Ovis aries: one gene and its partners. The protein of the gene in region 1 purifies or fractionates together with the protein of each later gene. This does not show direct contact. Links are inferred from orthologs where the notes say so. Each region holds a gene or a part of one and is shown in the gene's direction. Other genes may lie near its edges. The genes, in order: EXOSC10, EXOSC9, EXOSC2, EXOSC7, EXOSC1 and EXOSC3.

The links.
Region 2: the proteins of EXOSC10 (region 1) and EXOSC9 purify together in Homo sapiens (co-immunoprecipitation; 7 studies listed by BioGRID and IntAct, with this or other methods). This does not show direct contact. The link is inferred for Ovis aries from reciprocal best matches to the Homo sapiens genes EXOSC10 and EXOSC9.
Region 3: the proteins of EXOSC10 (region 1) and EXOSC2 fractionate together in Homo sapiens (co-fractionation; 9 studies listed by BioGRID and IntAct, with this or other methods). This does not show direct contact. The link is inferred for Ovis aries from reciprocal best matches to the Homo sapiens genes EXOSC10 and EXOSC2.
Region 4: the proteins of EXOSC10 (region 1) and EXOSC7 purify together in Homo sapiens (affinity purification with mass spectrometry; 6 studies listed by BioGRID and IntAct, counting the BioPlex papers as one, with this or other methods). This does not show direct contact. The link is inferred for Ovis aries from reciprocal best matches to the Homo sapiens genes EXOSC10 and EXOSC7.
Region 5: the proteins of EXOSC10 (region 1) and EXOSC1 purify together in Homo sapiens (co-immunoprecipitation; 8 studies listed by BioGRID and IntAct, counting the BioPlex papers as one, with this or other methods). This does not show direct contact. The link is inferred for Ovis aries from reciprocal best matches to the Homo sapiens genes EXOSC10 and EXOSC1.
Region 6: the proteins of EXOSC10 (region 1) and EXOSC3 purify together in Homo sapiens (affinity purification with mass spectrometry; 8 studies listed by BioGRID and IntAct, counting the BioPlex papers as one, with this or other methods). This does not show direct contact. The link is inferred for Ovis aries from reciprocal best matches to the Homo sapiens genes EXOSC10 and EXOSC3.

What each region holds. Positions count from the first base shown.
Region 1 is NC_056065.1:41,797,945-41,802,213, forward strand, and holds part of EXOSC10 (exosome component 10), read left to right. Parts: intron 1-488; coding exon 489-645; intron 646-998; coding exon 999-1,147; intron 1,148-1,315; coding exon 1,316-1,366; intron 1,367-2,256; coding exon 2,257-2,368; intron 2,369-4,087; coding exon 4,088-4,138; intron 4,139-4,269. UniProt on the Homo sapiens protein: Catalytic component of the RNA exosome complex which has 3'->5' exoribonuclease activity and participates in a multitude of cellular RNA processing and degradation events.
Region 2 is NC_056059.1:3,761,338-3,765,606, reverse strand, and holds part of EXOSC9 (exosome complex component RRP45), read left to right. Parts: intron 1-1,657; coding exon 1,658-1,790; intron 1,791-2,796; coding exon 2,797-2,885; intron 2,886-3,555; coding exon 3,556-3,702; intron 3,703-4,269. UniProt on the Homo sapiens protein: Non-catalytic component of the RNA exosome complex which has 3'->5' exoribonuclease activity and participates in a multitude of cellular RNA processing and degradation events.
Region 3 is NC_056056.1:5,933,349-5,938,146, reverse strand, and holds the start of EXOSC2 (exosome complex component RRP4), read left to right. Parts: upstream 1-1,592; 5' UTR 1,593-1,609; coding exon 1,610-1,731; intron 1,732-3,359; coding exon 3,360-3,461; intron 3,462-4,798. UniProt on the Homo sapiens protein: Non-catalytic component of the RNA exosome complex which has 3'->5' exoribonuclease activity and participates in a multitude of cellular RNA processing and degradation events.
Region 4 is NC_056072.1:54,176,038-54,180,975, reverse strand, and holds the start of EXOSC7 (exosome complex component RRP42), read left to right. Parts: upstream 1-1,891; 5' UTR 1,892-1,925; coding exon 1,926-1,982; exon of another isoform or gene 1,983-2,228; intron 2,229-4,938. UniProt on the Homo sapiens protein: Non-catalytic component of the RNA exosome complex which has 3'->5' exoribonuclease activity and participates in a multitude of cellular RNA processing and degradation events.
Region 5 is NC_056075.1:18,489,148-18,493,902, reverse strand, and holds the start of EXOSC1 (exosome complex component CSL4), read left to right. Parts: upstream 1-1,343; 5' UTR 1,344-1,374; coding exon 1,375-1,405; intron 1,406-1,512; coding exon 1,513-1,628; intron 1,629-4,095; coding exon 4,096-4,170; intron 4,171-4,755. UniProt on the Homo sapiens protein: Non-catalytic component of the RNA exosome complex which has 3'->5' exoribonuclease activity and participates in a multitude of cellular RNA processing and degradation events.
Region 6 is NC_056055.1:50,986,764-50,991,661, forward strand, and holds the start of EXOSC3 (exosome complex component RRP40), read left to right. Parts: upstream 1-1,716; 5' UTR 1,717-1,731; coding exon 1,732-2,055; intron 2,056-3,056; coding exon 3,057-3,206; intron 3,207-4,898. UniProt on the Homo sapiens protein: Non-catalytic component of the RNA exosome complex which has 3'->5' exoribonuclease activity and participates in a multitude of cellular RNA processing and degradation events.

The sequences.
Region 1 (4,269 bases):
AGTGCTTACTATAATCTAAGGCTGTTACGGAGTCTTGCCACACTTTGTGGGATTCTTGCTCCCCTTGGTAATGTTCAGATGGCTGGCTTCCTCTCTGAGGCTGTAGCTGTTGTATGCAAAAGCACTAAACTCTTCTGCACATCTCATGCCAGAATTTCTCAGGAGAATTTAGTAAAGAACTATAAGATGAGAATTGATAAAAGCTGAAAACCACTTCCTTTTACCTGACCATTGCCACATGCCATGCAATGGGATAGGATTCACACCCAAGGCAGGGCCCTGATTTTTAACCACATCGTTGCCCTGCTGCCCCTTCTGCCCAGTTGTGGAAAGAGCGGCTTGTCCCATGAGGATGCCTGAGAATCTGGTGGGGCTGTAGTATTGGCCAGGGGAGACTCTTGGACTTCAGCAGGAACCCACAGGGTAGACGAGTCAAATTGCCACCTCAGGGGAAACCAGTGAAACAGCGTTCTCTGTTGCAATCCTAGACCTCTGCCTGAGGAAATGCTGAGCTATGCCCGAGATGACACTCACTACCTGCTGTACATCTATGATAAGATGCGGCTGGAGCTGTGGGAGCGCGGCAACGAGCAGCCCACACAGCTGCAGGTGGTGTGGCAGCGCAGTCGCGACATCTGCCTCAAGGTACAGCCCGGGCCCAGGTTCCACTTGGGTCCCTGTGCTCTGCTTTGCTCTTTTATTTATTTTTAAAAACTTTTTTAATGAGTTAATTTATTTTGGCTGCACTAGGTCTTTGTTGCTACACACAGGCTTTCTCTGGTTGCACAAGTGGGGCCAACTCTCTAGCTGGGGTTTGTGGGCTCCTCGCTGTAGTGGCTTCTCGTTGTAGAGCATGGACTCTAGGCACACCGGCTCAGTGGCTGTGGCGGTGCTCGTCTTCCTTGTGGTTTACGTTCATGAAAGAGCCCAGTGTCCTGAAGAGCCCAGGACACAGTACTGATTCCCACTTATCTTGAGCATTCTTTAATATTTTGCAGAAATTCATCAAACCCATCTTCACAGATGAATCTTACCTGGAACTCTATAGGAAGCAGAAGAAGCATCTGAACACACAGCAGTTGACGGCCTTTCAGCTGCTGTTTGCCTGGAGGGATAAAACAGCTCGTCGGGAAGATGAGAGTTACGGGTAAGGACTATCAATCCCTTTCATTCTTGCTAGGTGTGGTGACAAGGAAATAATGGGCTTTTTCAACTCTCTTCACCATGAAAGTTGATTATGTTTTCCCAGGGTTACAGCACATCATGGAGCTTGTCGGCAGAATTTAATGGGATCCTGTTGTGTGTTTTATTCCAGATACGTCCTGCCAAACCACATGATGCTAAAGATAGCTGAGGAGCTGCCCAAGTGAGTGAGGACTGATTAATGTGCTCCGACTTCCTCAGTAGAGAAAGTGCTGTCTTTCAGATCCAGCTTCCCTGATTGTTGTTACCTCAGGGCTGTTTACTCAGAGCAGATTAGTGCTCTGAGGAAGTTAGCAAGTCCAAGAAATGCAGAATCTCTGCCCGTGCACTGCCATTTAGGAAGCAGAGCTTCTGAACTGGAGCTATTTCCATGTTTATCCCTTATATGGACTCCCATGTAAGTCTCTGGGCTTCCCAGGTGTCTCAGCGGTAAAGAATCCGCTTGCCAATGCAGGAGACATGGGTTCGATCCCTGGGTAGGGAAGATCCCCTGGAGGAGGAAATGGCAACCCACTCCAGTATTCTTGCCTGGAAAATCCCATGGACAGAGGAGCCTGGTGGGCTACAGTCCATGGGGGTCACAAAAGAGTTGGACACAACTGAGTGACTTAACAGCAGCCTCAGCGTGTAAGTCTCTGAGCCTGGAGCATCCACTTTAAAGGAGAGAAAATGTCTCAGACTCTTTCATCTGTACCTCCTTCTGGATTAAGGTGTCTCATGATTTTAGATGTCTTATGATGTTAATTGGAGTATAAGCAAAGAACCAAACTCAGCATCACCTGGCACCTCCTTGCAGGGTTGCAGGTGAGCAGAGCTGTGGGGCTGCGTTCCAGCCCACCCTGAGAGCAGCAGGCAGCAGTAGGAGGCGTCTGCTCAGGGCTGAGTGCAGCAGAGAACACATCTTGGAACAGCCAGTGGGGCCACCCTGACAGACCGTGTTCCCTCAGTTCTCACCTGAGCACCTACACTCTGGCTTCACCGCGTTGTTGTTCTTCCCTGTAGCCTTTGTGGGCCGAGCTTCTGGGCAATGTTGAATGTGTTCTCTTCCTTCAGGGAACCTCAGGGCATCATTGCTTGCTGTAACCCCGTGCCTCCTCTCGTACGGCAGCAGATCAACGAAATGCACCTTCTGATTCAGCAGGCGCGAGAGATGCCTCTGCTCAAGGTAAGAAGCTCCCCAACTCCAGAGATTCTCAGCTCTGTCTGCTGGCATCTTGCTCCGTATAATCTCCTTCACACGTGAGTCGTCTCCATTCTGAAAAAAAAAGCTGGAGGAAATAATAGGATTTAGGAAATCCAGTGGGTGTGTCTTTATGATAGTCAGAAGCTAAAGTTCATCCTTCTTTAAAAAAAACTATTTATTTATTTTTGGCTGTGCTGGAGCATCGTTGCTGTATTTGCGGCAAATAGGAGCTAATCTTCATTGCAGCATGCAGGCTTCTCATTGCAGTGGCTTCTCTTGCTGCCAAGCACAGGCTCTAAGGCACGCAGGCTTCAGTAGTTGCAGAACTTGGGCTCAGAAGTTGCAGTTCCCGGGCTCTAGAGCACAGGCTCCACGGTTGCGGCACACGAACTTCGTTGCTCCACAGCATGTGGGGTCTTCTCAGACCAGGGATTAAACCCACGTCTCCTACATTAGCAGACAGATTCTATACCACTGAGCCACCAGGGAAACCCTCATCCTTCTTTCTCTGCAACCTTGTCTTTATTAATCCAAGGGCCCGTGATGTCTCATGATGTCTGATGATGGGCTGGTTAGCTGTTGTCCCGAGGCAGTCAGCCTTGCAGGGTAAACTGGAGTGGGGATCTCAGCACAGAGACTGCATTTTGGAAGCCTGGCAGTAGTCCAAAGTGAGATGATAAGAGCCCTGATGAGTGTGTCAGTCACAGGAATGGAAGGGAAAAGACAGGTTCAGGAAACACCTTCAAAAGCAAAGACTGATGGGACTTCATAACAGGTGGTGACAGTGGCTGCGGTTCTTTTCTGAGCACCATGCTAAGTACTTTAGAGGTGTTCTCTGAATGGCAAGTAGAGTTGAAGATAATGGAAGTGGAGTCAAGGACCACTCACTCCACACAAGAAAGCCGAGGTGATAAGAAACAGGAGCACCCCGGAGAGAAGGGAATTCAGAAAGAGCTAACTGTGAAGAAGATGCTAAAGTTTAGGCAGATTTAGGTGAAAGCAGGATGCCCAGCCCGTAATACAAACCCGTACATACCAACACACCTGTGTTCTTGTGTAGATGTTAACAGTATGTCTACACAAGCTTATGTGTAGGTTTACATGTGTGTGTACTTTGTTTTGTTTTTAATCCATACAAACATTTATTCTGCCCTTGCTATGGGGTGGGAGAGAGGGTGTTCAGAAGGATATGCATGTTTCGATTTGTGTTTTATTTGGCACCGTTTTTAATGTTTTGTCTCAGTAATAATATTAGCATGTGTAAAACATGTTTGTAATTTTTTGAAAGATTATTGATCACAGGCGACTTGAAATCAGCCCCTTTGAGGTAAAAAAGAAGAGAATCTGAGGATAAGCACATTTAATGTCTTCACGCCAATATTTCTTTCTTGACTCCATACATTGCCCAGTAAAGAGCAAAACACCAGTGACTAGACAAAAATCTTTCTCAAACTCTTTGGAATCCTGTATTGTGCCTCACTGTGATAAAGGGTTTTATTCTTTCATCCAACAAATAATTACTGAGCACAAGTAATTACAGTGCCAGGCACTAGACGGGGTGAAGGGATGAGAGAAAGTCTCGGGCTCTTGAGAAACACCGTCTAGTGAAGAGACACGTGTGCACTGAGGGAAAAAAAGAGAACGAGTGCGTCATCACATTTAGGGAACTTTCCTGACACCCTGTCTGTTTTGACTCTGTAGTCTGAAGTCGCAGCGGGAGTGAGGAAGAGTGGGCCGCTGCCCAACCCTGAGGTACCGTGATATGTTCGTTGTGGCTTTTTCAGAGGGAGGGAGGGAGGGGGAACCAGTCACAGCCTGGACAGACCCAGCCTCCTTGACAGACACCAGGGCCTGTCATCTAGTCGCAGAGCTGCTGCCTGCCT
Region 2 (4,269 bases), on another chromosome or scaffold:
GTGTTAAAGAAGGTGCCTGCAGTGCAGGAGATGTGGGTTCAGTCCCTGGGTTGAGAAGATTTCCCTGAAGTAGGAAGTGGCAACCCGTTCCAGTATCCTTGCCTGGGAAATCCCATGAACAGAGGAGCTGGGCAGGCTACAGCTCATGTCAGACATGACTTGGCTGAACAATAACAAATCTTTTTAAAATATCCATTATCTTAAAACTGACACAGAATGGGAGAAATAGTAGCAAACCCAACAAATGATTAATTTCCAGAATATATAAGCAGCTCATTCAGCTCAATGGAGAAGGCAGTGGCACCCCACTTCAGGACTCTTGCCTGGAAAATCCCATGGACGGAGGAGCCTGGTGGGCTGCAGTCCTTGGGGTTGTGAAGAGTTGGACACAACTGAGTGACTTCACTTTCACTTTTCACTTTCATGCATTGGAGAAGGAAATGGCAACCCACTCCACTGTTCTTGCCTGGAGAATCCCAGGGACGCCCAGGCAGCCTGGTGGGCTGCCATCTATGGGGTTGCACAGAGTTGGACATGACTGAAGTGACTTAGCAGCAGCAGCAGCATTCAGCTCAATACCAGAAAACAAACAACAATCAAAACATTGGCAGAAAATCTAAACAGATGTTTCTCCAAAGAAGACATACACATGGCATATAAACACATAAAAAAAGATGCTCAACGTTGCTCATGACTATACACATAGTGTATAAACCCATGAAAAGATGCTCAACATCTCTCATTACCAGAGAAATGAAAATCAAAACTACGATGAGGTATCACCTCACACCAGTCAGAATGGCCATCATGAAAAAATCTAAAGACTATAAGTGCTGGAAAAGGTATGGAGAAAAGGGAACTGTTTTGCACTGTTGGTGGGAATGCAAATTGATACAACTACTGTAGTATGGAATTTCCTTAAAAAATGAGGAATAAAACCACCACATAACCTAGCAATCCCACTACTGGGCATATATATATATTTATTTATTTATATATGTATACCCTGAGAAAACTGTAATTGGAAAAGACATCATGTACTCCAGTGTCATCACAGCACTATTTCCAATAGCCGGGACATGGAAGCAACCTGGATGATTATTGAGAGATGAATGGATAAAGAGGCTGTGGTACATATACACGATGGAATATTACTCAGTCATAAAAAGGAAAAACAGTTAACTCAGTTCTAATGAGGTGGATGAACCTAGAGCCTATTATACAGGGTGAGCTAAGTCAGAAAGAGAAAGGCAAATATCATATATTAACACATACATATGGAATCTAGAAAGATGGTACTGATGAACCTATTTGCAGTGGAGTAATGGAGATGCAGACACAGACAGCAGACTTGTGGACGCAGGGAAGGAGGAGGGAACAAATTGAGAGTGGCTTTGAAACATAACCATACGTAAAATTAGACAGCCCGTGGACACTCCCTGTATGACGCAGGGAGCTCAGATCTGGTGCTCTGACAATCTAGAGAGGTGGGATGGGCTGGGAGGTGGGAGGGAGGGGACATAGGCATACCTATGGCTGATAGATGGTTGATAAATGGTAGAAACCAACACAGTATTGTCAAGCAGTTATCCAGTTTAAGAAAATTGACAAGCACTCAGTGTCACATTTGTTCAGGTAAACTTAACATTCATTTCAGAACATATTTATTGGTGGATCCCAGTGAACGAGAAGAACGTGTAATGGATGGCTTGCTGGTGATTGCCATGAATAAGCACCGAGAGATTTGTACCATCCAGTCCAGTGGTGGGATAATGCTGCTAAAAGATCAAGTCAGTATTTTGACTGATGTTCCATTAAAAATAGGTCTCATGTTTTTAGAAGCTTTTTCTTGATTTTTGCCTAAAATCCAACAGGTACTTTCCGTGGCTGATCCTAGGCTCTGTTAGACTCTGGTTCCATGACTGTCCTTATGCTCTGTTGTCCTTATGCCACCAGGGGCCCTTCCTCCCTTCCTCCCCTCCTCCCCTGTGTGCGGCGCTCCCCAGTCTAAGCCCCTCTACATAGAGGAATACTCTTCTTCCCAGTGAGGAAAGGGGTTTATATCCCTGTTTTTTTTAAGTGTCATAAAGTAGATTTAGGTATAAATTTTACTTTTGAGATTTGGGTACAGTGGGCAGAAATTCTCAAATCCAGCTGCATATAAGGTTCACGTGGGGGCTTTTAGAAAATAGATTGCCACGTAGCACATGTTGCAGCTGGTTAGGAGCACAAAGGCTACTTGGTTGGAATTCCAGCTCTGCCTTTACACTAACTGACCTTCGGCAGATTAATTCATCTTTTTGTGCTTCAGTCTCTATCTGTAAAATAGGAAGTAATCTTACTGTCAGCACCTTCTCGTTAGGAGAATGTAAGGATCAATATAGATACTTTGGACTGTGTAGCATAAATTAAGTATACAGTAAATGTTATTTCCAGAGATTCTGATCCACTGGTCCCTGAGGCCTGGGAATCTGCTTTATGAAAGCTTCTGATGGGACACTTTGCAGCTCTGTCTTGAGCAGAGATAGGGATCACTCACAGAAAGGAAGTGAGTGTATGTGTGGCCTTTTTAGTGGTATCTTACATTGTCATAGAGAAGTTTTTGGGTCACTTCCCTTAATTAAAAGTCTCTTACATCTTGCCTTAATTTGTGTTTTTATATTGTATTATTTTCTAATTTGAAAAAAAAGTAAGGCTTAAATTGCAAAGGTAAAACTAATCTTATGTTTTTAGTTTTGCTAAAGAAAACTCTTTGATTTGTTGTCTGTAAATAATAGCATTCACTTTTATAAATAGGTTTTGAGATGTAGTAAAATAGCTGGTGTGAAAGTAGTGGAAATTACAGAGCTAATACAGAAAGCTTTGGAGAACGACCAGAAAGTTAGGTAAGTTTATTTTTTTTTAGAATTGAATGGTCTTGTTATAAATTTTTCTGTTAATGACTTTTCTTGCACAAGCATAACCATATAGTTTTTACACTCAAATCTTTCCTTATCTAATAGTCTCAGTTGAATATAGTACTTAATGTTTTTGAAAGTTGATCAAACTGTTTATTGTATTGCATTCCATTTAAGCATAATCTGTACTGAAAAGCCACACAATGCTTTTCTTTCTTTCTTTTTTTTTTTAAAATAACATTTTCTCAGGAAAAAGAGAATCTGGTAACTTATACTAACAGAACACAAGCTAGGGTTGATCCCCATCTCTTCTTATTCTGTGATGTTAAGCGATAGTGTGTCTTGGCACTTCAGTGTCTGCTGTGGTCTGGGAGGTTACTGCCTACCTGGTGGGGCTGGTTTGAGGTTTGGAGAATAATATACCTCAAGCACATAGCACATGCTTGGCATGTGGTTTAATAAATGGTTAATTATAGTAGCTTTCTATTATCTCACTTGATAGGCCAAATAAATGGGTTAGATTAAGTTAGTCAAATGATTTCTCATCCAGTGTCTCTCATCTATCATAAGGATAAAATAGTTAACTTTTTTTCCTTCCTGTCTTCTCTTCCATCTCATTCTCCCTTTCCCTCCCCACTCCCTAAAAAAATCCACATAGGAAAGAAGGTGGAAAGTTTGGCTTTGCAGAATCTATGGCAAATCAAAGGATTACAGCATTTAAAATGGAAAAGGCCCCTATTGATACCTCCGATGTAGAAGAGAAAGCAGAAGAAATCATTTCTGAAGCTGAACCTCCTTCAGAAGTGTATCTTTACTGGGTGATTTTTTTTTTTTTTTCCAGTAAAAACAAGATTTATAATACTTGTGGCATGATTAGGGCTGTGTGAAGTATGTGCATACTGAAATTTGTTTTCTGAAAACAGAAAAAAACATTTACAAGACAAGAGAGTGATGAAGTAAATTGATGGTGTAACATCTGCCTTCTCTTCAGCTTCTCTTCTCAGAAATCAGAAAAGTTTATACTTTAACAACTTTCAGTGTTTTATTTTCCTTTGGAAAAATTCTTGAATCTCAGTGACATAGTCAAGCCCTATATATACATCATTACATTGTTCTTAAAGTTGATTCATTCACCAAATTTATTACTACAACTGAAATGTTCCAAGCCAGTGTGTGTGTCTTGATATTTGTCACCCATTCTGTCCATAAAATCTTAACCTGAATTACATTTTTTCTTCATTGTTCAGCCATCCATAGTATAGCCGTTGATAATTTTTTTCCTAATAATTTGAGGTGAACTTCAGACTTAACAGAAGAGAACTTACATTCTAATTGTTTCAACACTGCATCAAATAGCAGTATATTTGTTACT
Region 3 (4,798 bases), on another chromosome or scaffold:
TTCTTGGCTCTAGCCCCTTCTCCTCTGTCCTCTGTCTTATGAGATGGTTGGATGGCATCACCGACTCAATGGAGATGAGGTTGAATAAACTCCAGGAGATAGTGATGGACAGGGAGGCTTGGCATGCTGAAGTCCATGGGGTCACAAAGAGTCAGACATGACTGAGCGACTGAACTGAACTGAACTGAGCCCCTTCTCCAGGCAAGGAGGAGGGCAAGTGTCTGGCTGTCCACTTACTGATGACCTGTGAGCAATTAGAATCTATATAACTGACTACCTTACAGGGTTGGCTTTCTAGACAAATGTAGTTGTGAGCCACGCTTAGGTGAAAGAAATGCTATCCTTTTGAAGATTTACCAGGCTATTGGTCTGATGGGTCTTCAGGAGAAAACAGACTTAATTTACTGGTCTCAGTGAGTGGTGCTGATGCAAGTTATTTTATTTCATCCTATTTAGAATCCCTGTACTGGGCTGTGCTGTGCTAAGTCACTTTAGTCTTGCCTGACTCTGCGACTCCCGACTCTGAGACTCCACAGACCATAGCCCACCAGGCCCCTCTGTCCATGGGATTCTCCAGGCAAGAATACTGAAGTGGGTTGCCGTACCCTCCTCCAGGGGATCTTTCCGACCCAGGGATTGAACTCGTGTCTCTTATGTTTCCTGCATTGGCAGGCAGGTTCTTTACCACTAGCGCTACCTGGGAAGCCTGCATGAAGAATTATCACCTCCAATTCCCTGAGGTTGAAACTAAGTCTGTTGCGAATGCTATAAAGCATGCAGGGCCAAGGGTGAGGGAGAGGGTAGCACCTGGGGAGAGGGACAAGCGAAATACTCCTGACGCCTAGATAAAACCACATATCCTTCCATCTGTTCATCACTGAACCCTTAGGACAGCTCCTGGCTCATTTCACTGTGTGAGTAAATGTACGCGAAAATCTTTGTATTGTGTCCATTTGTCCTCCCTGACAAAACATACCCGCTTGGCAAGATTTAAATGTGTTCTTAGACGGCTTCTTGCTTTTTCCAAAAGAAATACCAGGGAAATCAGCTCGCTTAAGAAAGAATGGAAACAGCACCTGCAGCACTGTTTGGGGGTGTAGATGATGGTTGGTGCTGAACTAGCACTCACGAAGTGACAGTAATGTAGAATACAGGGGCTACTAGTAACAGTACGAAAAGAGACTCTTTCCTCTGTCCAAATAGTGTTTTCTCCTCTTGATCCTCCTGGTCAATCGCATACCAAAGAAGAGAGATTTCAGCAGCTTTGAATTGGAAGGAAACTCAGAGGCCCACTTCACAATTATTTATAACCCTGGAAAACAGTAAGTGAGATGAGCACAAGAGTTTTGCTGAAAAGTCGAACGCTATGCAACCTGAGATTTTATTATTTGACAAGAGCAGCCTTGCCAATAGTAAAAATGGCAACTTGACTCCTTCCTTCCCTTCGTGTTAACCTAATGGTTGCCAGTAGCCAACATGGAGGCCAGACCGTGAGTTCCCGTTGGCGGCTGTTCTGAGGCCCCGCCCCTATGAGCGACGGCTGGAAATTGCGGAGACGGAAAGCGTGACTCCGAGTGGGGCTGCGCCTGCGCGAGTTATTGGCGCCAAGATGGCGTTGGAGATGAGGCTTCCCGTCGCTCGGAAGCCTCTTAGCGAGAGCCTGGGCCGCGAGAGTAAAAAGCACCTAGTGGTGCCAGGGGACACGATCACCACGGACACAGGCTTCATGCGGTACGTGGGGTTGTGGGGACACTGGGCGGCAGGGGCGGCTGCATTGCTCTCTTTCCGCATCAAACCTGGGCCTGTGTTCTGCATCTAAGTGCTCGCGGTACCCGGGGCGCATCTGGGAGCATCTCAGTTGCCTCGTTTTCGAGGCTTCGGACTTCCTACTTCCTGCTTCTTGTATGTCCCCGTCTGTAGCTGCCTCAGCTCCCCCGAAACCTTCCTGTCCCGATCACTGGTAGCTGTGACTCGTGGGTCCTGTGCCTCAGGCCCCGATTCTGAGGCCTTCCTCGTTGAACCTGCAGCTAGGGCCTCCTCACAGGTTTCGGCGGAAGGGATGGTGGGCGTTTTTGACTTCTTCCACTTAGCCCTCAGCATTCCGTCTCCTAGCCAGGGGCACGGTTTTGGAACGAGCCATTGCTTGGGCTTAAAGAAAGTGAAGTCGCTCAGTCGTGTCCGACTCTTTGCGACCGCATGGACTGTAGCCTACCGGGCTCCTCCGTCAATGGTATTTTCCAGGCAAGAATACTGGAGTGGGTTGCCATTTTGGGCTTAGGGGGCATGCAAATATATTATGTTACATGCACCAGAATAGGTAACTTTGAGTCTGAGGGCAGGCTCCAGCTTAAGGGCAGCTGGGGTTCCGGTCCTGCTGCCGTCACAATATTAGCTGTATCACCTCTCCGAGGTCAGTTTCCTCGTCTGTAAAATAACTATTCCAGAGAATGGTGAGGATTCCATGAAAGTGAAAGTGTGGAAGAGTTAGTCCCTCAGTCATGTCCGACCCTTTACCACCCGGTGAACTGTAGCCCGCTAGATTCCTCTGTCCATAGAATTCTCCAGGCTAGAATACTGGAGTGGGTTGCATTCCCTTCTCCAGGGATCTTCACCACCCAGGGATCCAACCCAGGTCTCTGGCATTGCAGGCAGGTTCTTTACTGTCTGAGCCACCAGGGAAGGATTACATGAGGGGTAATGATTATGAAAAAAAGTAAGACTCACCATTCTATCACCATCACAGTGGTCAACACTACTCATACCTCAGGCAGCCTCTGCCCTCCCCCCATATGCATATGAGAGAGGTACAGCGTTTATTCCATTGCCCTTTAACCTCTTAGTTTGGGATTATTGGTTCCCAGGAAATCTTAAGATTCAGTCCTTTATTCATGCAGTCCATAAATATTATTTGTGGTTGGGGTATAAACTGAACAAAGAGGAAATCTCTGTCCTGGTGGACTTTATGTTCTGAGACAGACAGATGAGAAATAAGCACAACAAACAAGTTATTTAGAATATTTGCTGGTAAATGCAGTAGAAAAGAATAAAGAAGTGAGGCAGGGTAAGTGGAGCATAAGTTGGAAATATGGTGGGGATGGCAGCCGCAGGGCGGGTGACTATTACAAATGGGAGAGTTGAGGAAGGCCTGGTGGAAAAATGCCATTTGAGTCGACTTGAGTACAGTGCAAGAGATGGCCACGTAGGACTCTAAAGAAGGAGTGTTTAGGCAGAGGTGGCAGCCAGCAGAAAAGCCTGTCTTTGAGGCAGGAGGAATCAGATTTGAGGAACACATTGTTCTGGCTGCTAGAGGTCACCTCAAATATTACCCTGGTATCCTTTGTATCTTCCTGTTGCAACAGGGGCCATGGAACCTACATGGGGGAAGAGAAGCTCATTGCATCTGTGGCTGGCTCTGTGGAGAGAGTAAACAAGTTGATCTGTGTAAAAGCTTTGAAAACCAGGTGAGAGCAAAAGGTGTGTATTTTGTGGCATCTGAGTTGCACAGCCAGGTCTTTTCTGCCATGACACACCCCCTACCCCCAGCCCTGCCTGCCCTGTCGTTCTGTAGGGCTGGGATTTCGGGAACATGACTGGAGGAAGGGTAGAGATGACTGTAGGTAAGGGTAGGCTTCAAAGGTTTCCCTACGATATCTGACCTCTTCAAACTTGGGTTCCCTCTCCTGCAAAATGAGACCTTGCCTGACCTCCTGGGTAGGATTTTCCTTGGAATTCACCGAAATAGTGTGTATAAAGTACTTTACACAGAGAGCCGTCTGCCTTGAGGGCTCAGTAAAGGTTAGCCCCAGAACATGAGCCAGTGGGGTTGGAACAGAGTGAGCAGGCGAGTAGTAGGAGCAGATGCAGAGAGGTGAGGTAGGCAGTCTGCATGCCCTGCAGCCACGATAAACGTTTCTGACTTCCACTCTGTGCGGTCTAGGAAGGCCCTGGAGCAGAAGGACCTGATCCGCCGCCCTCTGTTTTAATGGAGTCACTCTGGCTGCTGTTGGGGGCGGGGGTGGGGCAGGGTTAGGGAGCCAGATTCCTGCTCTGTTCTCATCATCTCGGTTGGTGGTGGCTTGGACTAAGGTGATAGCCATAGAAGTGGGGAATAGTGATCAGTTCTGCGTGTATTTCGTGTTCTGCGTGTATTTACTGTGAAAAGCTGTAGGATTTTGTATGTGGGCTTTTCTACACGTAGGACTATGTCTGTGAGAAGAGATCGTTTTATTTCTTCCTTTGGGGTGCTTTTTATTTTCTGCCTACATTGGTAAGGTAGAGGTCTTAGAATCTGCTGCTGGACCTGTCCTGGAGCAGGAGAGAGAGGGGAGGAGGGAGATACACACGGTTCCTCCAAAGACTCCAAGGACTGTGGCTTGAGCAACCGGAGGGGTGGAGTTGCTATTTCCTGGGCCGGTGACAGTTGGGAGAGGATCCATTTGCTATAGTGGAATTGAAGGGGCTGCTAGAAAGCTTTGTTTGAGGTTTCTAACTTACGCAGATTCCTGTTAGGCACGTAAGTGAAGGTGCTGGGTAGCCAGTGGTTGACTAGAGCTAGAGCCTGAATTCAGGGGAATGGTGGACTCATCGGTGGCATTTAAAGCCATCAACTTGGGTAAGCTCACCAAGTGAGTGTGGGCTGGAAAGAGAAGAGGCCCAAGGACTTAGCCTTCAGAGTGGAGGCTCTAATTCATCATTAGAGTTGGGAGGAGGAATTAGGAAAGGGATCCGAGACATGCAGCCAGTGGCTGAGGGAGACGTGAGTAGACCGGTTTGGGAGGTACCTGCCTCACTTTCCTTT
Region 4 (4,938 bases), on another chromosome or scaffold:
CTGCCACTTTTTAAACCCTCGCTCCTCTTCGATGTCCCACCTATTAAAATTTCACATCCGGGGTCTCTTCTTTCTGAGCGATCGAGCACAAGACACCGTTTCTAACACCAGAAGTGCCCTGTTATCTCATCACCCAGGTGCTCATTAGAATCCAGGTGTTCAATCACCCAAAGGCCTCCAGGCGCATGTGTCCCAACAGGTGGGGCACCTGTACTTTCATGAAGGAGGAAACCCTTCTGGGTTTACCTCTCCAAGTCTCCTGGAGGGCAGAATTCAACACTGCAAGACATCCTCCCTATAGGTACACCTGCAGAGAGTTACAGAGAGACCGGAAACAACGAAAGGTCCAGTCCACTAAGAAGAGATGATTTATTTGGGGGCTCGGCAGCTTAGGGCTTCAGAATGTGGGCAGGTACGTCCTCTCCATACCCTCTTCAGAGGGTATACAACCTCCCGGTCCCACTATGTTCACCGGTGCCACTGTCACAGCTGTTCACCCCCACGTTTATGCTGGGTCTGGAGCCTTCCCTCTGCCTGGGAGCTTCTCTGGGCAGAAGCTGTGTTTCACTTGTCTCAGTGTCTCAAAGCTAGCACAAAGCCCATCAACAGTAGGCTCCCAAGAGTTATCTGTGAAACTGTATTGAGGCTACTATCTGAGACACCAACCATTCTTTGGAGGATCAAGCAGTCAAGGGTTAGTTTCACTTCTGACAACAGGGAGGTTCCTCAAAAGTGGGGCACTTGGAAAAATCATCAGATCCCCTCGTTGCTACTATCCTTCTGGGTTAACTTTCCTCCATTTATCTACGTGGCCCCTTTAAAATCTGTTTCCTGCCTTATCAACCCCGCCTTAATGGGCTCCTTCAGTGACCCCACGTTCACCTTGCAGGTATCCTTTCTGGATATTCAAGGCCCATATTCCTACTTGGTCACGACTGGGGCCGGCATTTCTTTTTTTTTGTCCACGGTTCCCAGCGATCACCCGGTCAAGCCAGGGCTTCCAGTCCCTGCTGGGAAGCGCTGGGGACGCCGGGGCACTGCGCCCCCGCAACCCCCCCCGCCAGCGCTGACCAAGACTCTCCCTTCTACTCTCTTTGGGACAAAGCTCCGGCAACCATCCGGGACATGGGGATCCTGCAAGGTTCCGGGGCGGGGGTCAGCGTTCGGTCAGCCAGCCCCAGAGAGAGCGGGGGTGGGGGGGTGGGGGAATCCATGGGGTGCAGTTGAAGACGTCTCGGGACTAGAAGGGCATTCACTCCCGGCCAGATCCTTATCACCGAGAACGACCTAAAGAGGGCTTGATCGCTTCTTTCCTCCCCACCATCCCATGGGCCAGAGAAATACATGACATGAGGGCAGGAAGGAGAGCCAAGAGACAGCCTCTCTCAGGCCAATCGCGACGTCCGCCACCTCTCACTTGGGGTCGGTCTCTTTCTTCACACACACGCACGCACACGACCGGCTACTTCAACTCCAGCTCTGAGCAAACTGCGCCGCACGCCTCTTCCACCGCTACCCCTTCGAGCTCCGGCCCCGGCCCGCGCCTGGCGCCTCGCCCCAGCTTTCTCGCCGGATCCCAGTTTCCTCACCCGACTGACCGTGAAGCCAGAGGCAGTTCCCCAGTCCCAGCCCCCTCGGTGGGGCTCCGGCTGCCGCTGCCGTCGTCGCTCCCCTTTCAGCCCCCGACCCGGGACCCGGCCCTGGGCTGCAGCGATGGCTCCCAGGAACGAGGCGCCGCGGCTCCCTGGACTCGGCCAGACACAGGGCGGCGCGCAGGAGAAGCCCATCGAGCTCCCCGGCGGTGGTGGCGGCGGCAGCTGCAGGAGCGGCCGCCGCGCAGGCTGATGACGCATGGGAGGGGGGGTTGTGCCTGGCGGGGGGCGACGCGGGCGGATGACGTCAAGCGGCGGGGAAGGCTCGGCAGCATGGCGTCGGTGGCGCTGAGCGAGGCGGAGAAGGTGTACATTGTGCATGGCGTTCAGGTAGCGGCAGCGGGCAGTACTGGCGCCGGCCTCCGGGTTCCCTTGGCCCTGCGGGTCGATGCCGGGCCTCGGCTTGCCCGGAAAGACTGCGGCAGGCTGGGTTTACCTTTGATTAGACCGCTATGCGGCCGGCATGTGCAGCTCTAAAGCCGCCCGTGCAGGCGTCTTTGGGACCAGGCGGCGAGCATCCGTTTAAGACTGTATGCGTACTTGGATCTTTCCGGGTCTACAAGGTTCCAAGCTCGGGTAGGACGCGGTGGGCAGTCCCTGATTCTGTTAAATCCCCTCTCAGCCTTTGAAGGCTGAGCTGTCTCACTTTTGTTAGATACATGCTCTGTCATAGTTTTTAATCTCATTGAATTTTTGTTAAGTCCTGAAGGTGAGTGTTATGTCTGCTTTACATATAAGGAACTAAGTCAGAGAGGTTAAGTCAGTTGTCTGAGGTCGTAAGGTAAGTGTGTGGTGGTATTACCGCAAAACTGGGGTTTGACTCTTGGTCGTGAAAGTCGCTCAGTCCTGTCCGACTCTTTGCGACCCCATGGACTATTCAGTTCCTGGAATTCTCCAGGCCAGAATACTCGAGTGGGTAGCCGTCGCTTCTCCGGGGTTGACCCTTGGATGTTGAACCAAAAAACACAACCAAGCCAGAGAATGGGAGAAGGAGGAATTTATTAATTGCATCAAGTAAGGGGACTTTCGGAGGAGGCAATGGCACCCCACTCCAGTACTCTTGCCTGGAAAATCCCATGGGCAGAGGAGCCTGGTGGGCTACAGTCCATGGGGTCGCTAAGAGTCTGACAGGGCTGAGCTACTTCACTTTCACTTCTCACTTTCATGCATTGGAGAAGGAAATGGCAACCCACTCCAGTGTTCTTGCCTGGAGAATCCCAGGAACGGGGGAGCCTGGTGGGCTACCGTCTATGGGGTCGCACAGTCGGACACGACTGAAGCGACTTAGCAGCAAGGGGACTCTGGGAATCTTTTCAGAAGCAATGTCTACCAATAGCAAAACTGGAAAACAGGCTAAGGGCACGTGTATAGTCATGAAGGGGCTTGAGCAGAGGAGGAGGCCTAAAGTCGGGGCAGAGGTCAGCGGAGTCCAGGCCTTAGTTGATTGGAGTCACCAAGGGGACGGCTTCCCTGGTGGCTCAGCTACTAAACGATCCACCTACAGTGCAGGAGACCTGGGTTCGATCCCTGGGTTGGGAAGATTCCCTGGAGAAGGGAATGGCTTCAGTATTCTGGCCTGGAGAATTCCATGGACTGTATGGTCCATGGGGTCATAAAGAGTCAGACACGAATAAGCGACTGTCACTTTGCTTCACTTCACCATGGGGAAGAGAAGGGCAACACCATCTTCAGGTTGTGGCCACGTTGGGGTCTTATCCTGGAGTTACCATCCTTCAGCTGAGTGGGCCCCTGAGTTCTTGTAGAACAACTCGAAGGTTCGTATCAAACTGTTAAGTATATCCATTGAAGAAAAACTAGGGCTCCGTTTTATCTGAGAACTGTTGTTTCTTCGTTGCTTTTCCATTTTTTCCTGAATTCTGTAGTTCCCTCAAGATGATTAATTACCGTGACATGTTCAAGGGCAAGCATTGTGGCCAGGAGTAGATCACAAAAAGGCTGAGGACTAAAATGGCTTCCCTTGTGTCCAGAAAGCCATGCATGCCTGGTTGCCTTTTTCCGGAACCCCCCACCCTCTCTTTGTACAGTGGAACTGGGATATAAATCCAGATCTGACTGTAAAGCCCAGCTCAAGCCTTGTGCTATTTTCCCTTTTTAAAAATAGGCACCCAGAAATAAAAGCCAGGGAGAATGCCCACGGCTTCCACTTCTCTTTCTTTGCTCTGTCCTCTGAAAGCGCGTCGGCAAAACAGGAGCAGGGAGGGCAAGTTCTGACCCCCACCCCCGCCGCATTTTTCTAGGCCTTAAATAGTATATGGACATATATTACTATTACCTTTTTAGGTAATGTTTTTCCCACGTTGGTTCTAAGCTTCTTTAGAACCCTAGTTAGCATTTTTTTGTACAACTCTTGTTTTACTTACTTGTATCTGACTGGTTTTGTTTTTTAAGTATTTTGTTTACGTGGCTATGCTGGGTCTCAGCTGAGGGATCGTCAGTCTTTGTTGCAGCATCTGAGATCTTTATTTGAGACCTGTGGGATTTTAGTTCCCTGACTAGGATCCAACCCAGGCCCCCTGCATTGGGAGCACAGAGTCTTAACCACTGGACCACAAGGGAAGTCCCAAGCTGGTTCTTATATTCAGGAATTGGGGGCAGGTTTCAGAATTTCCAGAATTAGCATTTAATCTTCTTTTCAGGTTTGCTTAACTGGCTAAATGTGTGCTTTCTTCCTCCCTGGAAAGACATTGCTAACTTCTGTCTTAGCCCAGTAATTCTGAGACCTTGGAAGTGCCTTTTACTCACAAAATACAGCTTCCTGGGCTTTACCTGGATCTTCTGGATCAGAATCCTTGGGGCTGGGGCTGGGGCTGGAGCCTGGGAATGGGTATTTTCATAAATGTTGGGAGATTTTGATGCAGTCACTAGACATTGGACCTTGGACCAGCCACTGGCTTGGTCCAGCCTGCCTGGAGTCTGCTGTAGAAATCTTTGCCGCTCTGCCTGAGGAGTTTGTAGAAAGGGGGACCCCTTTCAGGGCCAGTGAGTAGGCTGTTGTCTAACACTTGGAAATGAATTGTCCAAGGAGACACACGTGCTGACAAAGCAAGAGACTTTATTGGGAAGGGGCACCCAAGTGGAGAGCAGCAGGGTGAGGGAACCCGGGAGAACTACTCTGCTGTGCAGCTCGCAGCCTCGGGTTTCACGGTGATGAAGTTAGTTTCTGGGCTGCCTCTGGCCAGTCGTCCTGACGCAGCATCCTTCCTGGTGGCGCACACATCACTCAGCCAAGGTGGATTCCAGCAAGGAGGATTCTGGGACGTTAGTA
Region 5 (4,755 bases), on another chromosome or scaffold:
CCCTATCACTCCAAACAGAGAAGGCAATGGCAACCCACTCCAGTACTCTTGCCTGGAAAATCCCATGGATGGAGGAGCCTGGTAGGCTGCAATCCATGGGGTAGCTAAGAGTCAGACAGACTGAGCAACTTTACTTTCACTTTTCACTTTCCTGCATGGGAGAAGGAAGCGGCAACCCACTCCAGTGTTCTTGCCTGGAGAATCCCAGGGACGCGGGAGCCTGCTAGGCTGCCGTCTATGGGGTCCCACAGAGTCAGACACGACTGAACCAACTTAGCAGCAGCAGCAGCATCACCCCCAACACAAGCCTTGAACACTCTGATCCCTCAGTCCTACCAACATAGTGACACGTGCCACCAGTTCAGAGGGGAGTGTAGGTCACAGCACTCTCCTCTCCCCAAGGCTCTCAGTCACCAACTCTTTCCCAAGGGGAAACTGGACATGGGGGCTATTAGGGGTGGGAGGACACACATAGATTCCAAAGACACCGAAGAGCAGAGGAAACAAAGTCGACATAACTCATTTGAACAAAGATGCTGTTTTCAGGGTGTTTACTGCCTGAAGCAGCAAGTGTCAATCATCAGTAAAAGCAACACTAATTCATGCAGACTTTCCTTCCAGACTAGCACGCTTCCGCAAGATTGGAGACTGCAGTTACAGAAACTGAGGAAACGTTTTATTTCTCAACAAAGAATGATAGACTGAAAGTAAAAAATAACTTGAGTACCCGTTCGGTCTCTATCTTGATTTTAGAGATACTGTACAATTCTAATCCTATCCCTGGGGATGAATTTCCAAATCTGTGAAATGGGCGAGTTGGCTGGGGTGACCTTCCAGCTCCACGCCTCAGGGCTGCCCGGAGGGTGTGTTCCGTCCGGTTCGAGGGCACGGCCGTGCAGAGCAGGAACTCGGGCTCACAAGGCCCGGGAACAGGGCCCGACCCTATTAAAAGCGACAGGACTGGGCAGAAAAGGCCGCAGCTTCGCTCTTACCTGCCGCTGGCCGATTCCTCAATCAGCCAAGTCGAACCCCGCAGCCTCCGCCGCAGCTCACTGCCACCCCCTCCAGCTCGGCGTCCACCGGCCCTGCTCAATCCAACCAACCATGGCCCACCGCCCACAGGTCCAGCCTGCAGACCCGGACCCACCGCCCGCCCATCCTTGTCCACAGGCGCAAGCGCGAGAGTTCCGAAGCCCCGCCCCCGAATTCGTCCCGATGCAACCTGGGAAATGGAGTTTACGTCTTCTGGAAGCGCTTCCGGAGATTACAGATAGAGCACACCAATTAGCGCGTTTCTTACTGCGTAACTGCACCTGGATATTGGCCAATGAGAGGTCGGCCTCATTTTCCTCGGGATTTGGAACAGTGGCAGTCATGGCGCCACCCGTGAGGTACTGCATCCCCGGTAAGTCAGCGGTATCTAGAGCAAATCGTGGGCAGAGACAGGGGCAAGAAGGCCAGACGACCAACAGCTTCAGCGGACCCGTGGCTGATGCAGCGTTTTTTCCGCAGGCGAACGTCTGTGTAACTTGGAGGAGGGCAGCCCGGGCAGCGGCACCTACACCCGGCACGGCTACATCTTTTCGTCGCTTGCTGGCTGCTTGACAAAGACCAGCGAGAACGGCGCGGTAAATGGGGCAGCTTCCCTTCTCTTCTGTCTCTTTGTCTTACGCTGCCTTTGATTTCACTGTCTTTAGGCAGGGTCCTACGAGCGCGTCTTTAGTGCCTGGTTTAGGAGAAGGAGTTAGTCTCTGAGTTTCTGACAGCTGGGATCCCCGCTGCTGGACACTTAGCCATCACAAATTAATTGTGTTGTCTGGCTTGGCTGTGTTGCTGACCCTCCGGGAAGCAAGCTGGGGAAAGAACGGAGGCGAGCTCAGCCGTGCTGTGAGCTGAATCCTGGCCGAATGTCGCCTGCTTCTCTGGCTTCATTTCGCTCCGCTACCCGCGCCTCACTCTTTGCAGAAGTCCTACTGTCTTTTTCAATATCGCCAGTGGACCACAGAGTCTTTGTACACACGCCGTCTGTCTGGAACACGCTCCTCTCTTCCTTAGCCCGATTAAATCCTACCTACTCAGCGGAAGAGAATCCACCACCATTGCAGGAGACGCGGGCTCGATCCCTGGGTCGGGAAGACCCAGGAGAAGGGAATGGCAACACATTTCAGTATTCTTGCCTGGAAAATCCCATGGACAGAGGAACCTGGCGGGTTACAGTTCATGGGGTCGCAAGAGTCGGACACGACTGAGCGACTAAACCACCACCACCCTTTAGATAACCTCACTAGTTATCACTTTCTCAGAGAAGCCCTATAGACACCACTAGTCAAAAAAGGGAGTTTTGTTTTTTGTTTGTTTTAACACTCACAAAGAACTGTTGGGGTCAGTTTGCCTGTTTGTTTTGCCAGGCAGCATGCAGGATCTTGGAAGGAACCCATCCCCCCTGCAGTGAAAGGTCAGAGTCTTAACCATGGGACCACCAGGGAGGTCCCAAGAGCTGTTACTCCCTTTCTAAGCACTTAGTTCAGCATGCAATTTAACACTCAGTTATAAGTTCCCCATTAGACCCTTCCACTACTATGCACGTAGCGCGAGGTAAATGCTCAGTAGATGTTTATTGAATGTATGAATAATATTATTCTCCCTGGTTCCAGAGGCTGATCCATTATTAGCTTGGGATCAGATAAGCAGTTCTTGGAGGAGCAGCTTAAAGACTGGAGGTGGTGGGGGGCATGGGTTTAGTCGCTAAGTCGTGTCTGACACTTGAGACCTCATGGACTGTAGCCCACCAGGCTCCTCTGTCTATAGGATTTTCCAGACAATAATACTGGAGTGGATTGCCATTTCCTGCTCCAGGGGATCTTCCCAACGCAGGAATTGAACCCAGGTCTCCTGCATTACAGGCAGATTCTTTACTGACTGAGCTATGAGGGAAGCCCAAATCTCTATACAGTCCGTGGAATTCTCCAGGCCAGAATACTGGAGTGGGTAGCCATTCCCTTCTCCAGGGGATCTTTCCAACCCAGGGATCGAACCCAGGTCTCTGACATTGCAGGCAGATTATTCTTTATCAGCTGAGCCACCAGGAACGCCCTAGAAACTGGGAGCATAGTAGAAAGAGGATTCAGTATTGACTAAACCTTAATTCTGCCTTAGGTAAGAAACTTTCACTCCCTTTATAGGTTCTTACCTATAAAATGAGAGACTTTTGTATTTGATCAATTTGGGGAATTTCCCTAGGATTTGAAAGTTTGTTCATTTTATAGCTGTGGGATGTGATAATGAGCCAAATATATGTGGTCTCTGCTATCAAGGGGTACAGATACAAACTAAGCAAATAAATGCTCAAATGAAGGTATACTTACACATATGATGGCTGCTCTGAAACAATATTACAGAGTACCATGAGAACATGTAATAGGTAAATCCAGCCTAGTCAGAAGTGATATTTAGTCTGAATCTAAAGGATAAATAAGAGTTGAGTGAGTGAGCAGAAAGAGCAGGTTGAAAAGAGATCCTGAGATGGGAAAAAATTTCGTGAATTGGTGAAACTGAAAAAAGACCAGGAGAGCTGAAGCATATTGAACAAGGGAAAGGTTAAGAAAAGATCGGGCTCAAAAATATCTTTCCTGCACCAATAGCCAGTACCATGCTCAAAGAGGAAACTCTACAAGTGTTAAATAGAAGTAAACAAGTATGGCCACTGTTATATAACATTTATTTGAAAATTCTAGCCTGTCCAATAAAATGACAAACCAAAAGAAAGATGTAACTTTGGAGGAAAGAGTTAAATTATCCATGATTACAGGCAATGTAGTTGTATGTGGAAAAACTCTTAAGAAAATCACAAAAAAACTCAGAACTCATCTGAAGTGGTAAGATTATATCTTCTTACACCTTTCTTTCTGTGGCCCCTTGGCCCTCCTGTATCCTAAAATTTCTAAGGCTTTCTGCTCTGGGCTACAAATGAATCTGTTGTCCACCTGCCCATGTGACGTCTACTGTGGCCCAAGGTTTCCCATTTTACTGTCAAGTCTCAAATACCTTTATCCAAGGCTTAGCCAGAATATTCATGTTTTATTTTTCTCTCTGCAGCTTCCTGTCATATCTGTGATGAGAGAAACGGAGTCCCAATTACTGCCAGATGTAGGAGCTATTGTAACCTGCAAGGTAAGTTGGTCCTAACCTCCCTGCTTAGGATACCATCCAGTGTTGAAATCATGATCCTTATAGAACTGCACTGTCCAATATGGTAACCAATAGTCACATAACGTCATTTAAATTTCAATAAAATTAAAACAAATTTAACATTTATTTCCTCAGTTCTGCTAGCTCCATTTCAAGTAGTCAGTAGCCACAGGCGAATGGTGGTTGCCATGTTGGTCAACAGAATTTTTCTATCATCACAGAAAGTTTTACTGGACTGTGCTGGGTCTAGAGATTTCTAGGATAATGATCAGTGTGGTTAAGTTCAAGCTTATGTAGTCCTTTCACAGAGCTGGTTTCCTCAGTATGTAATTTTTTATTTCTGTCTGGGAAACAGGAGTACCAGAAGGTCATAAGGAGGTGTATTTTTGAACATCTAAAGCGAAACTTTTTCTGCAGAGAAATGAAAGATTTTTATAAAGTCTTTGAGAGCAAGTGCAAATTAGTGCTGTACCAATTAGTAACTATAAGACATCCGTATTCCCTGCCCATCCCCACCCTCTGCCAGTTAACTTGTAGCTCTTAGTTTTCCTCTGTAAATAATTTCTC
Region 6 (4,898 bases), on another chromosome or scaffold:
GCTGTCTGAGGAGGCCTTACAAATAGCTGTGAAAAGAAGAGAAGCAAAAAGCAAAGGAGAAAAGGAAAGATATAATAATCTGAATGCAGAGTTCCAGAGAATAGCAAGAAGAGATAAGAAAGCCTTCTTCAGCGATCAATGCAAAGAAATAGAGGCAAACAACAGAATGGGAAAGACTAGAGATCTCTCCAAGAAAATTAGAGATACCAAGGGAACATTTCATGCAAAGATGGGCTCGATAAACCACAGAAATGGTATGGACCTAACAGAAGCAGAAGATATTAAGAAGAGGTGGCAAGAATACACAGAAGAACTGTACAAAAAAGATCTTCACGACCCAGATAATCATGATGATGTGATCACTCATCTAGAGCCAGACATCCTGGAATGTGAAGTCAAGTGGGCCTTAGAAAGCATCGCTACGAACAAAGCTAGTGGAGGAGATGGCATTCAATTGAGCTATTTCAAATCCTGAAAGATGATGCTGTGAAAGTGCTACACTCAATATGCCAGCAAATTTGGAAAACTCAGCAGTGGCCACAGGACTAGAAAAGGTCAGTGTTCATTCCAATCCCAAAGAAAGGCAATGCCAAAGAATGCTCCAACTACCACACAATTGCACTCATCTCACATGCTAGTAACGTAATGCTCAAAATTCTCCAAGCCAGGCTTTAGCAATATTTGAACCGTGAACTTCCTGATGTTCAAGCTAGTTTTAGAAAAGGCAGAGGAACCAGAGATCAAATTGCCAACATCTCCTGGATCATGGAAAAAGCAAGAGAGTTCCAGAAAAACATCTATTTCTGCTTTATTGACTATGCCAAAGCCTTTGACTGTGTGGATCACAATAAACTGTGGGAAATTCTGAAAGAGATGGGAATACCAGACCACCTGGTATTTCAAGTGAGAGCCTTGAAAGTCAGAAGGGGAGACCCAATGTGCTATTGATTTGCAATTCAGCTGCTCTTCACCTGGGCAACTAAAGCGTGCTCCAAGGAAAACAGCAGCAAAGATTTAACTGCAATTTCTGATTTTCCCAGGCCGTGGAGGGGAAGCTTAGTTATATGGAAATATGCAAGTGATATGTAAATATTTTCGGGGGAGGTGGGAAGGAAACGCAAACCAAAATGTCAACATTCATTTTCATTCATTCATTCACCAAGTATTATTTATTTCGTGCCAGGACCTGCGCTCGAAGAAAAAAAGTGAGAACTATCTGACAGCCTAGCATAAAGACAAACAGGGAGCAAAACTAATGCTTTTCATTTTCTTTCTATTCTTCTCTGGTCTTCCACAACGTGAATAGATAAAAGTTTCCTATGCAAAAGAAAATACTGAATACTCTTCCTGGTAAAAGATTAGCGGTCCCTCAGCACGTAGAGTCAGAAGACAGAGCCAACTCCCGAAGGCCTGCTCAGTTCCCAGGGTTTCCACGAAATGAAAGATGCTGGGGTCTCATACCCCACTGTGCATCTCAGACACCGGGGGAGGAGGCTCCGCAACTGACTCAAGCTAGCGTTTCTCCTGCGGACCTGCGAACAGACTGCTGGATGGGCGGCCAGCTAAAGACACGATCATAGCCATCTTGAGGGAACCCGCTAATCCAGAGCGATCGGACTTTGAAAACAGGTTCAAATCCCACAAGCCTGTGCTGCCGGAAACGGAAAGTCTTGGGCGAGCTGGCGATTGGACGCAGAGCCGGAAGCCGGAAACTGTATAGTGACGCCCGCGATGGCTGAAGTAGCGGGTGTTGCAGCGGAGTCCCTGGCTGGCTGCAGGGCGCGGGCAGCGCGGACGGTGCTAGATCAAGTGGTGCTGCCGGGCGAAGAGCTGCTGCTGCCAGATCAGGAGGACGGAGAAGGCTCAGGAGGTGCAGGGGAGCGACCGCTGCGCCTAAACGCCGCAGCGCGCTCCCGGGGACGCGTCGTGTGCGGCCCAGGCTTGCGGCGCTGCGGCGACCGACTGCTGGTCACCAAGTGCGGCCGGCTCCGTCACAAGGAACCCGGCAGTGGCAGCGGTGGTGGCGTTTACTGGGTGGACTCGCAGCAGAAGCGGGTAAGCTGGGACTCTGGAGGGGTTGTCCGGCTGGGAGAAGGCTGAGGATACTCTTCGGAAGCACGGAAGGGGCCCTGGAGCCTTCCTCTGATAAGGCTAGAGAAGAGCCGCTGGAGTCTTTGTGCTTACTTCTACAACTCCTTTAGAGGGACCGTGAACAACTGGAACGTGGCCCTAGATGGGCGACCAGGCGAGAAAAGACCCTGGGGAATATAAGGGCACATAAGAGGATGAAGACTGAGGCGTGGTCATTGTCTTCAAAACCTTATAGGTCAGGGAGCAGCAGACTTGCCTTTCGGTGTTCCAAAGACTCAAGTTCAATGAGTGGATGTCACAGGGAGTTGTTTCTCTTAGAATAAATAAGAAATTTCACATAGGAAGAAACTAACAACAGAATGACCTTGCTTGGTTGTGGGGACCCTTGTATCACTGCTGCTGCTAAGTGGCTTCAGTCGTGTCCGACTCTGTGCGACCCCAAAGACGGCAGCCTACCAGGCTCCTCCGTCCCTGGGATTCTCCTAGCAAGAATACTGGAGTGGGTTGCCATTTCCTTCTCCAATGCATGAAAGTGAAAGTGAAGTCGCTTAGTCGTGTCCGACTTCTAGGGATCCCAGGGACTGCAGGCTACCAGGTTCCTCCGTCCATGAGATTTTCCAGGCAAGACTACTGGAGTGGGTTGCTATTGCCTTCTCCCCCTGTATCACTGAACTCTTGCAAACCAACTCTAGGGAGTTTCTGATAAGAATTCAGAAGAGATAAGATGATACACTTAAATGAACACTGTTAGAAGCTGGAAATCTGAGAGTTTATCATGTGATTGGTTTTCTTTTAAGGGAGAGTGACATATGATCAGGTTTGTTGTAAGGTTTGTATTGATTTGTAAACATGGATTTTATAATATTTTCTAAATATTTAAATTACAAACATAACAACCGCTGAGGACTTGTTGAAGATGTCTGAAAAATGATTGTCATGTATGGTGGTTCTCTCATTTTTTGTAGTATGTCCCGGTGAAAGGAGACCATGTGATTGGCATAGTGACAGCTAAGTCTGGAGACATATTCAAGGTTGATGTTGGAGGGAGTGAGCCAGCTTCCCTGTCTTACTTGGCATTTGAAGGTGCCACTAAAAGAAACAGACCTAATGTGCAGGTAACAACAGGACCTTTGGTTTCAAAAGTAGCAAATATCCATTTCCTAAACAGTCATATATCCAGAAGGCTACCGGAACTGTCTTATTTTCCTAGTGCTATTGGGTGATCTTGGAGCATCTTTGTAATCACTCCAGGCTTCAAGAGTTCTTTCAGATGCTCCACCTCTGGGACCAAAGCCACATACTTAGTTTACATTTGCTATGTTGGGGGATATTTTCATCTCTGCTGAAAGGTTATATCTGTTATTTGTTATATCCATATACACTGGACAAGAAGTAAGCCAGAGGCTTGGGGAGGAAGGAACAGTGGTGGAAATTGCCATACACTCATCCGTCTTTTCTGGATGTGGGTCCCGGGACTTGTATCTCACAGCTTCAGTTACATCACTGTTTCCCAACAGTCCCATTTTGCAGCTGACAGTAGTCGTCTTGCTACTTCAAGTTTCAGCTTGGGCTTTTCAGGTAGCATGGCCACTCTTCCTGTCCATCCAAGCCAGAAATTTGGAGGTTTCTTTGCCTTTTCTCACTCATCCTTCATGTTGAGTCTCTCTGATTTGCCACATGTGCACCCCTTTATCTCCACTTTGCAAGTTCAGGCCTTGGCTGTCTCTTGATCGGACTTTAAGTCAGTGACCTCCTTAGTAACATCCTGCCTGTACACCTCTGCCCCTTCATCCAGGCTTTTAAGAGCTGACAGCCTCTCATACCCCTTTCTGCAAAAGAAAAAGTTCTTCAAAGCCTACATGTTACTATTTCCAGAGGTCTTCTCTCATCCATAATTATATCTCCATGTGGCCCTGCCTGAATTACACTGAACTATTTAAGAGCACCACTGAATTCATAATCTCTGCTCCTGTACCTTTGTTTATGCTGTTCCCTCTGTCTGGATTGCTTTATCCTCTTCTCAACCTGTGGAACACATTCTGGTCTTTCAAGACCCAGGCTGAGCACCACTAACCCTCTGTAAAAACACCCCTAATTTTCAGTCATTTTTCTTACTGGATTCAGCTGTGAATGAAGTTTGTTTACATATATATCTCCACTGCCCTCTGAAAGTAAATGCTCTAAAAGGCAGAGAATGTTCTTTCTAGTTCCTGAGTCACCAGCAGTTGTTGGTACTTAATGAAACAAGTTTACTCTTCATTTCCATAGTTGGTGTCATTTTGAAGTTCAACTTTTGAGGCTTTTAAAGTAATTATTGTATGGAGAACAGTCAATGAATTACTAATATTCTGTTTTGCTTTGAATAATTTGCATGCCAGGGGTTGTTTCTTCTGTAATCCCCTAAAGCAGTGCTGTGCAATAAAACTTTGTGGTGATGCTAGTGTTTTACATGCACTGAGTATTATGGGAGCCACTAAGTCACACATGGCTATTGAGCATTTCAAATATGGCTAATGCAACTGAAAAATTGCATTTTAAGTACATCGTTTTAATTAAATGTAAGTTTAAACAACTACATGTGAGTAGTGGCTACTGTACTTGACAGTGTAACCCCAGTGGGTACCCTCTGGCTTTGCTGAGGCTCCCAGTCTGGGGATTTTCTGTGAAGGGAAGGGTGAGGGTACAGGCTTTAATTTGCCTTCTTTTAGGACGCAACTCCAGCGGGACTGTGAGAATCCTGGAGTGTAGTCCGTCATTTAGCCACAGAATTGCAGATGAGTGGCGTTGATGCCTATTGAAAACAGCCA